Caenorhabditis elegans: one gene and its partner. The protein of the gene in region 2 purifies or fractionates together with the protein of the main gene of each other region. This does not show direct contact. Each region holds a gene or a part of one and is shown on either strand. Other genes may lie near its edges.

Region 1 (7,350 bases), on a different chromosome or scaffold from region 2:
GTCTCGGAGAATGCGTATTGTACAGCATATTTGACGCGCAAAACAACTCGTAGCGAAAACTACAGTAATTCTTTGAATGACTACTGTAGCGCTGGATTTTCGAAATGAATTTCTTTTTAAAAAAATCTAGCCCGTAATTCGACACAAGCGCTACAGTAGTCATTTAAAGAATTACTGTAGTTTTCGCTACGAGATATTTTGCGCGTCAAATATGCTGTGCAATACGCATTCTCGGAATTTTGGGTTCCTGTAATATGCAACGAAATAACAAGAGAAAAAACAACCAAAATATGCTATAAAAGGTGATACTTCAAGAAATGGCAACTCTGACAGCTGCGACACTGAAGTGTGCCGAATTCGAGATTTCAGCTAGAATCAGTGTAACTTTTTCGAAATTTTGAACCGCCATAAAACGTCTCACTACGAAATTCGTTTATTCGAGTAATGAATAAGTATGAATGTCTGCAATAACAATATGTATTATGCATTTATTTTTTCAATGGGTTTATACGATTCATCTTTTATTTCATCACGATTTTAATAGTAATAAATCAAATCAAATCAAATCAAATCAAATCAATAAGAGATTTTTTAGAAAAACTTATAAATTATATAATTGATTCAAACTCTTTAAAATTAGCTCTAACTCAACTTTCGCCAGATCCTTCTTCACTCTGACATTCTTCATCAAGTTAAATATATTCGATTCCTTTACTCGTTTTCTATAGTATTTATTTTGTTCCATCATCTTTTTTGTTGTATAAATAACCCAAAGGGTTGTTCCATCAAATTGTGTTGTTGCCATCACGCGCTGAAGAAATCTCAAATCGATATCAACATTTTCACTTGTTTTCAGCCGATGATAATTGTTTTCTAACAGTTCATTAACAGATTTCCAAAAACTTTGATCAACTTGATCAGAGTAATTCAGAAGGATCGCAAGAATTGAATAAAGAATATATAGTCTGTCTGTATTCCATTTGTTGAATATTTGTCTGAAATTTTCTTAGATTTCTGAGAGAAAAGTATGAGTTACTCACTTTAAGTACTGAACATCTACATTTATAAACTTGTCAAAATTTGCATTTGGAATACTCACTAGACTTCTCAAAATGCGAAGAATTCCAAGTTGAATAGTTTCATTGTCAAATCCCAATAAAAACTTGAACAACTCTTTGGCTCCTCCGTTTTCAATGACATGAAGGCATGTTTCTGGATTACTCATAATCGTACTGGACATCGTTTTGATGATTGTTCTGCATGCCCAATGATTCTGTAGAGACGTGCAATGCTCTAAAGTTCTAATGAGGATATTTGAGTCTTTGATAGTTTCCTTCGAAATTTTATAATTAGTGGTTTTTCTTAGAAAGCATTTTGCAATTATTTGCAATATTAAAACAATGAGTATCGGATCGGAATATGTTTCTTCCAGAAAACAAATATAAATATCGCCAACCAAATCGATTCCTTAAGTCCTCGCGTAATGTCTGTATCCGTTCGATTCAACGTATATGTAAGATTGAGCAATATACGTAACGATTTTGTTGCGTCAATTGGACGTAGTAGTTCAGCATTATTTCTGAAATATAGGAAATGTTCATTTTTTCACCGAAACCACCAAAACCAAAATCCACAACGACTAACATAGCTGGTGAAAACATTAAAGGTGGAGTACCGAAATCTGAGAAATATTTTTAAATGACTCCAAATTTGCCACTGATTATATATTTTTTCAACGAGTCGGTTTTTGCTAAAGTTTTTGTTATCAAAAAACTAGCCAAATTTTTGGTTTTCAATTGGGAAAAGCATATATTTGGATTTTCCGTCAAGTTGTGACCTAAGCAATGGAAAGTTTGTCAGTTTTTTGATAATATAAATTTTCTTTAAAAAATTTGGCAGAAACCGACGAAAATGGAGCAACCCCATTAAAAAACGGAAATCAGCATCCGATAAAGATTAAGGATTTCGTAAATATACACAAATCTCGTAAATCGACACATGGCGTCACTAACGCGAATATTTGGCGTTTGAAAAATCTCATGGATGCACAAGCGATTTTAAGATGAAATATGAAATCAGGCAATTTTAATTTTTTCACTCACAAGGAAAGGAAGTCAATCTAGTCCCGGACTTTAAATTGAGACGTATGCCTTTTGAAAGCTTATGTTTAGACTAGATCACCACAAAAATTTCAGCGGCGGAACTCAACTCTGAACCCCTGAAAGCGCCATCTGAAAGTGCTACAGTGCATTTTTTTGCTGAAGGTCAAGTAAATGGCCTTAAAAGTGGCTATGAGCGGTTAAAAATTGTTTTTGGGGGTCTTTAGTGTCAAACAAACAATGTGGAAGCTTTTTGGAAATTTTTATTTTTTTTGCAAAAAATCTGAAATTTGAGGCCAAATTTTTGGTCAAAAAATTTTTTTTTGAAAAATTTTCAAAACTATTTTTTTGTATCGGGGCATATAAAAAGGTACAAATTTCTTCCAATTGGGCCTTTTGCACCGAATATGAGGTGGTTTTTAAGCTTAAAAATTTCTTGAAATATGTAATGGATGTACCTTTGAAGGTTCAGAGCAGGGGTGTGCGGCAAATGGAAAAAATTGCCGAGCTCGGCAAATCGGCAATTGCTGGTTTTTCAAAATTTGCCGAGCTCGGCAAATTCGGCAAATCTCTTTTTTCAATATTTGCCGAGCACGGCAAATTCGGCAAGTTTGCCGTGCTTAACAAACTCGGAAAATTTTGATAATTTTTGATGTTTTTGGACCACCAAAACTACCGAATTCTTAACACACATCTGGTTTCTGAATTAGTTCCGTGTAGTCTTAGGTCTGCTTAAGCATCAAAATAACTCAATTTTGTGTCATTTTACTAAATTTTTGGCGAAAAAATCAATAATTTTAGTCAAAATTGTACTGTAAAATTTTTGACGTGTGCGGCAAATTTCGAAATTTGCCGAGCTCGGCAAATTCGGCAAATCTACTTTTTTGAAATTTGCCGTGCTCGGCAAATCGGCAATTGCTGGTTTTTTTTAATTTGCCGAATTCGGCAAATCGGCAAATTTGCCGAGCTCGGCAAGTCGGCAATTTTCGGCAAATCGGCAAATTTGCCGCACACCCCTGGTTCAGAGTTGAGTTCCGCCGCTAAAATTTTTGTGGTGATCTAGGCTAACCTTAAGCTTTCAAATGACATACGTCTCGATTCGAAGTCCGGGACTAGATTAACTTACTTTCCTTGTCAGTTATTCGGAATCAGGGAGTCATTTGAAAATATTTCTTAGATTTTGGTACTCCACCTTTAAACTCACGTTGCAATTTCTGCCACACAGAGTATTCCAATTGTATGTGGAGTGGTCGCGCTGCCCAGTGAACAAGTGTCCGTAACGAAAGTCTCAATCACACGGAAAATAATTTTCAAACAATCAGCCCAATCGTATTCATTGCGTTGTCTCAACAGAAATAACATATCTGACAAGCACTTTTTGGCAGGTTCACTTCGTTTCAAATCCGTGTAATAGTTGAGAGTTTCGAGAGAAGACGCCAATGTCGCTGAGTTGAGAACTGTAATTTTTGTGAGCAACGTCGAATACTGCAAATGGCAATCTGGAATCCAAATGTTTAAACTTTCGGGATCCAGAAACTTAGAAACTTGCTTAATAATGCAAATTTTTCAAGTTTTGGATGAGATCTCGACAATTTTGCAAATAGCTCTTCTTCAATGTCAGTTCCACTGCAATCCATAACTCTCAACGCTGGTAGAGCCATCCCACACTCCACAAACCTTCTGATATTTTTAGATGTCTCTAGTGGTCTCAAATATTTTGTGATGTTATTTGGGAATCTAAAAACTGAAAGTGGTGTACTTACTTAGATTTAGACATTTCTAGGGTTCTTAAATTGAATAATTTAAATAAATCCATCAAATTCTCGCAGTCCCTGAATTCCAAGTCTCTGATGCTTAGTTGTTGTAGGTTTTTCAATTTGGATATTCCTTTCAGGAATACTATGTAAGTAACCTTTAAACTTTTGAGGGATGGAAGCATATCCGAAATCTAGAAATTAAAAAAAAAGCGTTGTATTTTCAAGGAAAGAAAAGTACTTTGGTAGACCATCCATAAGAAACTAATCCGGCACTTCTGATCTCCAAATGCTTCAGCTTTGTTTGGGATCCCTTGTTCAGAATGTCATTTAGTATGCCGACAATGTTAATCCGTTCTGTAAACTTTATATTAGAAGGAACTTAAAGGATCTCATAGTCAGTTATATTAGTAGGAATATGAAAAATAAACTGCGAAAAAATCCGATGAAGTATGAGAAAGTTTGACTGAAAAACGCAAAAGAGCACACGGTTAGCTATTTTTGCAGAATTTTTGCACTAGTATAGATTATGTTAGCCAATGATCATAGATACCGTTTGCGGTAAAAACTTTCATATTAAGGCATGCTGGTGGAAGATATTCTCTAGTAAGCCTAACAGGTAAAAAATATATACCTATCACATTCAATTTGAATGGAAAAAGAAATGAAAATTTAATTCAATTTTGAAATGAAGGTATGTACTACACAAGTACCAAATTGTCTTGTGCATCATTGATTTTTTTGCAGTTTCCTTTCATATTCTAATTAATATGACTGAATATTACAGTTTAGAACAACAAACCCTCCTTCTACTCACTTATTCCACAAAAATAATCTCTATGCACAAATGCGAATGAACCTAAGGCAAGTGAGTCTAAACAATGAGACTTGGTCATTTTCATAGACTCATGGTGAATTAAGTTCATTTTCAAGTCGACATCTGTCAGGTTAAAGACGAGTCCTTTGATATCGTTGAGTTCACAAGACAACAGAAAACGGTTATTGAGGAGTGTCGCAAATATTTGATTACTGGATTTTGGATCCAGACTGCAGCTTTCTTTTCTGTTTTGATAGTGGCCTTTAATAGTTACTTTATATAAATGTGGTCGTGACATTAACTCACCTTTAGTGATACTTGTAATAACTTTATCAATTGCCAAATTATAAAGTGAACTTATCATTTTCCTGAAATGTAATTAACTGTGGGTAGTTAATCATATGAAGTATAAATATGAACATATGTGAATAGTATGCTAATAGTAAGCTGGTTTGGAAAAAAAGTTTCCAAGTTAGAAAAAACTAGACAGTAAATGTTTTATATGCTTCACATATTATTGGTTGTTTGAGATGAATAGATTGGGTCCTAGACTAGATCACATAGAAATGCTCCATTGATAAATCTCCAAAATGCAGTTTTCTCATGTGGCCAAGAAGAAGTCGAATCAATCATGAAAACTTATAGAAATTGTAGATTAGTTATGGGATTATGACACACAACTGTATAAAATACATTTTTTTAAAAAATGAATTTCAATACATTTGTGACGCCATTTTTCTACACTTTATAATTTTCCGACACTACTTGAATAACCCCATTGAATTGTTATTCAAAAAACTTTGTAAATAGGTTGAAACATTAATTGAACTATCATGCTAATAGCCATGTTTTATGTTGAAAACCTCCTCTATCAAAAAACCATACACTTTATATAATCGAAAAAAAAATTGAAACAACATAACCTACGAAAATAAAACCAACCTCGTATTTCTTCAAGGTTATACACCGTTTACAATGGTGAGTTTAGAGCAAGAAGGCTAAGAGAGACGCTACAAGACACTGTTCTACGTAGAAGACGCAGAATTATCTCAGCAGGCTCACAACAGACAATGTCTGTGCTCAGTCATATTACTTTTGGACCGGAGTGTACTCTTTGACCTCCTGAAATAGATGAATCGTTGTCAACTCGTTGTCGAGAACTTGTACGAGGGGAATTGTAATAAATGAATAAAAAATACAATTCTCTATCAATATGGTGTGTTCATAAGCTTGCAAGCTTAAGACTCCACATGTCTCAAATACTTATTAAACGCTGCAATATGAAGAAAAGCAAATTCGACATTTTGTAAACTCTTAAAATTTTTCAAAAAATTTCAATTTCACCAGAAGAGTTTCAATATTCTCGAGTTTTACAAAAAAAAGCTCTTTATTATTAAATATTTATGTTTTAAAAGTGTTGAGGAAAGTTCCTGATGATCGAAATAGTAAGGGAAAATAGTATAAGGTTAGAATGTGCTCAGGGGCATTCACTGAAAATTAAAACTTACCACAAACTACAGTAATCCTTTGAATGACTACTGTAGCGCTTGTGTAGATTTACGGGCTCGATTTTCGAAATGTTTCTTCGTATTATTTCTTCCCTTTTCGTTTAATTTTATTATTCTACATACTTATAAATAAATAATTTCAAAGCATTCCAAAAATCGAGGCCGTAAATCGACACAAGCGCTACAGTAGTCATTCAAAGGATTACTGTAGTTTTCGCTACGAGATATTTTGCGCGCCAAATATGTTGTAAAATACGCATTCTCAGAATTTTGAGTTTCCGTAATAGTTCTAACCAGGGCTGGGCGGAAAACGATTTATTCAGGCAAATCGGCAAATTGCCGGAATTTCAAATTTCCGGCAAATCGGCAAATTTTTCCGGAATTTATAATTTCCGGCAAATAAACTAATTGCCGGAATTGAAAATTTCCGGCAAATCAGCAAATTTGCAAAATTTAAAATTTCAGGCAAATCAGCTAATTGCTGGAATTTAAAATTTCCGGCAAATCGGCAAATTTTTCCGGAATGGAAAATGTCCGGCAAATCGGCGAATTGCCGGAGTTGAAAATTTCGGGCATACTTGCAATTTGCCGGAATTTCAAATTTCCGGCAAACCGATAAATTGCCGAAATTGACAAGTTCCGGCAAACCGACAATTTGCCGGAATTGAAAATTTCCTATCATTTTGTTCAAATATATAGTAATTAAAATTAACTTTTTTTAAAATTAACAATAGTTCTAGCTTGTTGAGGATCTTTCTTCCTTAAATGTATAGAAATTGATAATTGCTTTTTTGAGTTCGAAATTCATATCTGATTCAATTTTTCCTCGCTTCCGTCCAAATCCAACTAAAAAGCGCAAAAAGCTAAATTTCGGAAATAAAGCATTCATTATATTTACGATCCAATAAATCTACCAGAAAATGTTCTATGAACCAATAAAATGCAATCAGATGAACGTAGAGGGACTAGAAAATTTCTGATTTTGTCGTCTCGTGGGTGGCAGTAGGTAGGGGGCAAGCAAAAAAAGAAGAACAATTTAAAAAGAAATACAACAATTTTCACTCAGAGATCTCCTCTTCGACTGACACTTGAATCAGACCGGTATGAATTGCGAACACTAATGACAACGTGAGAGCTCCGAGAGTGAAGAGAATCGCATCCCGCATTGGAGG
Region 2 (6,487 bases):
CGCCAACATCGAATTGGAAAAACTATTTCTACCGCGTGATTCTGGTCTGATTCCAATTCCGTCAGAGATTCTAGGAAACAGCTTGCCATCACAGACAGCACTTTCAATGGCTGAAAAAATCGATTTTGTTGAAAACTAGCAGAACTCCTCTTGATAAACTGTTTTACCGCTTACTGCTATTCTTTTTTTTTTGTATTCTTACAATTACCAATATTGAGTTGCATGTTTTTCATATTTTCTATATTACATCTATTCTTTAATTTATGCGTTTTGTTTATAAACGATACTATGAGTTTTGAAAAAATATTATGGAGAATAAGAGTTTTTAATTAACTGAAAATTGTTCACAAAGCTAAAATGATATGTCAGTAAATTATAAAACTAATTCCACAGTTCTGTTCATCTATTAAGTAACATGCATTGATTTGTATGGTATTAAATCGTAAAATTCTCTTGATTTTCAAAAATAATCATACTTATTAAACTTAGATTTTAACTTATGTGTTTTCATTTTTATCATAAAGATTTGTCGTGCCAAATAATTATTCATTTTGAACTATTCAATATATATATATATATGCGTTAATGGAAACTGGGAAGCGAAAGAAAACAGGATTTGAGAATAGAGGAGAATGGAATTGTGACAAGAGACAGGAATGACTTAGAATATCACATAAAAGTACAGAATTTAAAACAAAAGTTCGAAAAAAAGAACGCATACTATGTGACAATTCACAGGTATTCTTCATATCCACGGAAATCCACACTGTTGCCGATGATCTTCAGAAGCACTTCTTGCTCCTTCATCAGAGCAAAGACTCGGTCGCCGATAGCCGCATACTGAGCACGAAGAGGCTCCGACTGTTCGAGTTCTGATACTCTGAGATCTATGTAGCGAAGGCCACGAGTTATCAAGTCTGAAACAGATTCAAATATGAAAAGGGCTGAAAGGATTCCAAATAAGTTGTGTGTTACCTGACTCATTGTTATCAGCAAATCTGGTATGCTCGGCAATTCTATCCAATTTTCTTCCTTTCAGTGTGTCGGCATTGGAATCTAAACAAAGGTTATAATAATCAACTTCAAACTAAACAAAAAATTCACTTACCAACAGGCTCGCCAATATACAATAGCAAATCTTTGATAACGTTTTTCTCGCGGATGTTAGTCGACTCAGCAGCCACATCATTATCCAAAATATAAAGCATTGCTTTGGCAACTCTCAAGCGGAAAACATAAACATTCTGGAACTTTTGGAGCCGCTTCTGGATGAGTGGTCTACGACCGTGCTCAACATTGCGAAGTCCTCCATTAGCTTTCTTGTCGGCAAGATACTTCAGGCGACGGAACATGTCTGCAAATTTTTTTTCCTGATGTGAAAAACTGAGAGATTTATAACTACATACCATGTAAAGCTGCATTGCACGCGCGTTCCACAAATTCAGGAGTTGGTTTTGCTAAGTTCACCTTCCTAGCGTCAAAGAATTCGGTGTCAAAAAACAGAGTTGGGTATGTTGGTGCAGATCTACTCTCCCGATTATTGTTGTCTGATAGACGTCCTTCTCTGAAAACAGAAAGTCGTAATAAATTGGAATCAGAATAAATAAGAATAAAATTTTTCAATTTTTCAATTTAAAATTCACCAACCTGTCATCATCCAACGATGGCAACTCGTGTGCAGAACTGCACGAAGAGCATTCGCTTCCGTTGCCGTGCCTACGAACGCCTGGTCGGTAGTCATGAGTTATTGTCTGCCCTGGAACATACGCATCTGAGCCCTCGTCCTCTGGCTCATCAGGGAGAGAAGTGTACTGAATATTGGAATGGGATACTCTGAAAATTTGAAATCATCAAAAATTTAATGTGGTACGTTTTGGGTACACATACGTTTCGGGCATCTGCAAAAGGTTTTGAGCTGCAAGCAAGGCATTATTCACAAAAGTAGTTGCCAAACCATCTGAAAACTGAGCTTCAACAGATTCCATCGGTGATTTTCCATTCTCTTCTTCTGGATTTATTGGCTCTTTGTCATTACTTTTTACGATTTGCACATCAAACTTGGCTTCAACAAAAGAGTTATCATCAGCTATCATCACAAGTTTTTCAATCGTCGATTCAGTTGCGTTGTCTTTTCCCTTTCCTTGTTCGCGCTTTGCCGCCTTTGCAGCTTTTTTAGCTTTTTTAATGGAAGTTTTAGTGGGTTTTGAGACCTCCTCCTTGTCTGTTGAAGAAGCTGAATACTCCTCTGCTGGAGTTGAGGGGAAATCTTTTTCCTTCTCGATATTGTACTTATTTGCATCCAGCGTAGTAAACTCTGATGCTTTCTTTTTTTTCGCAGATTTTAGTGAATCACCGTTTTCAGATTCACTTGAACCTTTCGAAATATTGAAATCAGATTTTTGATGCTCATTGCCATTTCCGTCATAACGTTCTTCAGATTTCGTAATACCCATTTTGCCAACATCTTGAGTTGTCTCTTTTTGCTTCTGACCGATGCTTTTACTCTTTCCCTTTTTGTTGCTGTTGCTCGTCGTTGCCTTAGAGACCACTTCTTTCCACTCTCCCACGTTTTCAGCGTTATCATGTTTTGGAGCATATGAATTTTCTGAATTTTCCGAATTTCCCGAGAGACATGGAATTGTGTTGGCAGACGTTGCCAAGTTCTGCTCAAGTCTTTGAGCACGCGGTGACGGAGAAGAGTTGTCTGACTTTGCAGGTTGTTGGTCTGTCTTGCTGAACTTTTCGACTATTTTTGCATACGAGAGAGTTGGTTTTGTTTGCTCGGTAGGCGTTGTGTTTACCAAGGTAGGCACATTATCGGTTGCTTCGACAGTGTCATCAATTCTAGACGATCCATTGGATATATTTTGCTCAATTTTGGTGTCTGATCCTTTCTCAATAGTTCCATCCTCGCGCTTTTCAGCAATATGATTTTCAGATCCATAAGCAACTGGGAAAATATCATTTTCCGTTAGTGGAGCAGATGTAAAAACCAGTGAGGTCGGAGCAACTTCTTGCTGAGCGCTTTGCTTGAAACTATTCATGAAGTCTATTCCAGATTGATGAGTCTCCAGGATACTGAAAGAAAATACTGTGCTGCATAAATTTTTAAAACAATGTAGTTTACATTTTCTCAGTCGGTGGAGCAGGAACTGTAGTTTCGTAGTGAAGTGTTTTGTTGAAAAATTTGTAAAATTTGGCTAGTGGCTTGGGTTCACTCCAGCTGAAAAAAAGATGGTTAATGTCGAAATTGGAGAGAAAGAAAGCTTACTCTGTAACCTCTTCATTCATGTTTTCGGTTTCATAGCGTTCGAGAGCTTTGACTCCTTGTTTGAACATTGCGTAAAAATATTTCACCGTGTTCTCATTTACACATAATCTGGATGTGGCCCACAAAAACTTTTCGCGCGACACTTCTTCTCGGGCTCTCATGAGACTTTTCACTTCCTCTGAAAACTCTTTAAGTAGGCTTCGACAAGGTAAATTTTCTTACCGGCAAGAGCAGTATAATCATCAACTTTAAAATTCATCATTTCAGTTGTATACCGAATACGGAACTCGCGATACTTATCCACAGAGTGCATTCCAAGAAAAGAGCATATCAGCTCCTTTGAACTGGGCTGGCTTTCCTGAATTGGAATTTTGTCTCCTTGAGCTTCCAAAAAGTTTTCTCTCCAATTGTCGTAGTCCCTGAAAAATTATAGTCTATATATGGATGATGTGAAACATGTAAAAGATTTCAAAACAAACCATTCAGCAGGTTTAGGAAGGTCTTTGCCAAAAATTAGTCGTTGTCGCCGGGCTCGGTGAGCAGCTTCCAATTCACCACATTCGTTTGGGCTGTCGAGTTTGTTGCTAAAAAGCCAGTCATACCCCGGGACGGGAAACTGAAAAGTGAAAAATCATTAAAATCATTTAGTGGCTAAACCGACTTCATCGAAAAGCTGCTCCCTAGTTTTTGTAATTTTCTTGTACTCCGCTACTCCGTCGATCACCCTTTTTGGTTCAGCCCACCTGCAAAAAAAAAAATTTCCTGGAAACCAAATGCACCATATTTCTTACGCATTTTTTCCAGAAAAATTTTGATACTCGAATTCACCAGTGAGATCGTTGTCAGACAAGTATTCGTTTATGAAACAGAGTGCGCCTAGGAAATTGAATTTGCCTCGGCTACGTTTGTACTCGTTGAAGATTTTTGAGATGTAGGACATTCTGGCCAAAAGCATGTCATCGGCAAGTTCTTAAAGCAAGAATATACTGATGATATAGTATGATGTAATGTAAGATTTTGATCAATCTCGCAGACTAACTTAACCGTTTTTGACTCTAACTAGGCCTATGCTAAAATTTATATAAAATTAGGCACACATGAAAATAGGCCTCACTATCACAAAACAATTTGCAACTTTTAATTAACAAACATCTGATAAAATCAAAAAGCATGGCGCAAAATTTAGTATGTAACAGCCTGCCTTAAAAAATTACTCACTTAAAATAGATGGCCTTGGAAGTTTTTCCAGCATATAATGAGTGACATAGGTGTTTTTGTTGTTGAGAGAAAAGCGAAGTTCTTTGTTTATTCCGTTTCCAAGATCCATATGGTAGCTGACGTAGGTCATTTCTCTCTGCAAACATTTAATGATACTGTGTCTTTGTATTCATTTATACCTTCAAATCTTCTTTGTCCGCCGACGACCTGAGAATCAAATCCCAGTTGGCGGACATGGTTTACCGTTTTTCGGTGACTCTATTAGTCCTGAAAATATACAAATTTTGCAAAATAAAGAAACGACAAAACTTTGAGAATAAGTGAGAGAAAGGGAAACCGTGGTTTTCCAAGAGCAAAAGAAGCATATAATTTTCTACAACGTTTGGCATAAGAGGCATGTTATTAGTCTATAACATGTTTAAGCATTCTTCAAAGCAATCAGTTTTGTGAGCCCCATTATTTCCTGCCAGTGTCTGTGTGAAGATAAACAGTAGGCGTGATTGATGCTCCTACTGAATAGAAAGTGAAAACAATTGTGCGACACACGAATGTGCATAAGGGAAAAAAGCAGGTCACAGTTGAGAGGCACAAAGAAATGGAAAAAAGAGGGCAAAGAGAAATGAATAAGGCTCGATTACTTGAAACAGACGGCCTAGAGCCGCAATGCGACCGCGCTGCTTATGAATATGTTGATGATAATATTTTTCTAGTAGTTGAAAAAACATCTATCTCGCTGGGAAAATTTTTTGTACTGGAAGTATCTGATTCACAGATTAAAAAAAAGCTTTCTGAAAATGAGATTCTCCACAAAATGCCTCTCACGTTTTACTAAAGAGAAAATGAAAATGGAAGCTTAAAAAGTTAGAAAGCTGTATAAAAATTTTATCTTAGAAATAAAACACCTGCATGTATGACATTTTCAGAAAATTCAGCTGTCTTCGCGTTTTCACAAGTTGTAAAAAAATTCTGACCACTATTGATAATTTAAAAAGTTGATAGCCTCTTTCAGATTAGTTCCAGAAAAAAATAGATTTTTTTTCATTAAAATCGTTCTAGAAGGATTCCATAAAATAGATGCGAGATTACCAGGACAACCAGTCAAAAAGTCCGCAACGCAGTGTGAACATGCACACACGACACCACACTTGACGACACTTCACACCCGTTCCCCTGCAAAGAGCATTTGTGACTTGTTACCACCAGAACGTTCAGGTTCAGAAGAACCTTGGTCATTGATGACACAATATTTTGAATCATCAAAAACAGTTTAAAATTGGGAATTAAAGAATAAGCACTAGAAATTAAACGTAAATAATATTTTTGTTACCTCATTTTTCTGTAATTAACTTTTGATTTTTAATTCTATAAACCGAATGCTAACTGTGAATTATATTCTGTAACATACTGTATACTTGTTGTAACCACCGCCTTGAAAATTGAAATAATATATTGGAAAACATGGCATCTTTATATAATTACTGGATTTCTTTAATATATTTCAAAATTTTGCTTTTCAAACAAATTTTGAAATATCAATTTGTATTATTTGTGAGTAATGCAACATAAATTTTTTACAAAATTTCACCGAAATTGCGATAAAGAATTTGGCTGTTTGAAAGTTCGAATTGAAGCATTAAATCGTAAAATTGAAGCAACTATTCGCGAGTTATGTGATCGTGCGTAATATGGGACACAAAGGTTAAAAAGTTTTATTTCAAAATTTCAAAATTCTGGTTAAAAGGTCTGGTGGTGCATTAATGAGTAATTAAAAATGAATAGGGAAATCTGAATTTTTACAATTTGACAGGTCGAGATGTAAGTTTTTTTTTTGGAATTCGTTTGTTGAAAATTTATAGTTTCCCCTTTTCGTAGTCATATGCTGCAGACAATTGGTTGGGACACTTGGGGTAGCTCTATATATTTGAATGAAAAATCGAATGAAAACTAATGACTCATAACATTAATCCCCACAGTCTCAGAAAAATCGGTATGCTATAA

Evidence for each region. The genes of interacting proteins can lie anywhere in the genome.
Region 1: the proteins of K09C4.10 (region 2) and K05C4.3 fractionate together in Caenorhabditis elegans (co-fractionation; one large-scale study listed by BioGRID). This does not show direct contact.

Annotation. Positions count from the first base shown.
Region 1 is NC_003279.8:14,748,105-14,755,454, forward strand, and holds K05C4.3 (F-box/LRR-repeat protein), read right to left. Parts: upstream 5,674-7,350; 5' UTR 5,613-5,673; intron 5,039-5,612; 5' UTR 5,035-5,038; coding exon 4,977-5,034; intron 4,932-4,976; coding exon 4,671-4,931; intron 4,211-4,670; coding exon 4,095-4,210; intron 4,048-4,094; coding exon 3,863-4,047; intron 3,807-3,862; coding exon 3,649-3,806; intron 3,599-3,648; coding exon 3,304-3,598; intron 1,580-3,303; coding exon 1,393-1,579; 3' UTR 1,041-1,392; intron 996-1,040; 3' UTR 514-995; downstream 1-513. Other genes in the region: mtx-1 (Metaxin-1 homolog), read right to left, coding at 7,237-7,350.
Region 2 is NC_003284.9:3,275,475-3,281,961, forward strand, and holds K09C4.10 (SPK domain-containing protein), read right to left. Parts: upstream 4,757-6,487; 5' UTR 4,726-4,756; coding exon 4,669-4,725; intron 4,626-4,668; coding exon 4,490-4,625; intron 4,241-4,489; coding exon 4,063-4,240; intron 4,015-4,062; coding exon 3,933-4,014; intron 3,888-3,932; coding exon 3,751-3,887; intron 3,691-3,750; coding exon 3,494-3,690; intron 3,450-3,493; coding exon 3,272-3,449; intron 3,224-3,271; coding exon 3,128-3,223; intron 3,079-3,127; coding exon 1,888-3,078; intron 1,834-1,887; coding exon 1,648-1,833; intron 1,565-1,647; coding exon 1,407-1,564; intron 1,355-1,406; coding exon 1,109-1,354; intron 1,057-1,108; coding exon 976-1,056; intron 918-975; coding exon 733-917; 3' UTR 533-732; downstream 1-532. Other genes in the region: K09C4.7 (uncharacterized protein), read left to right, coding at 1-139.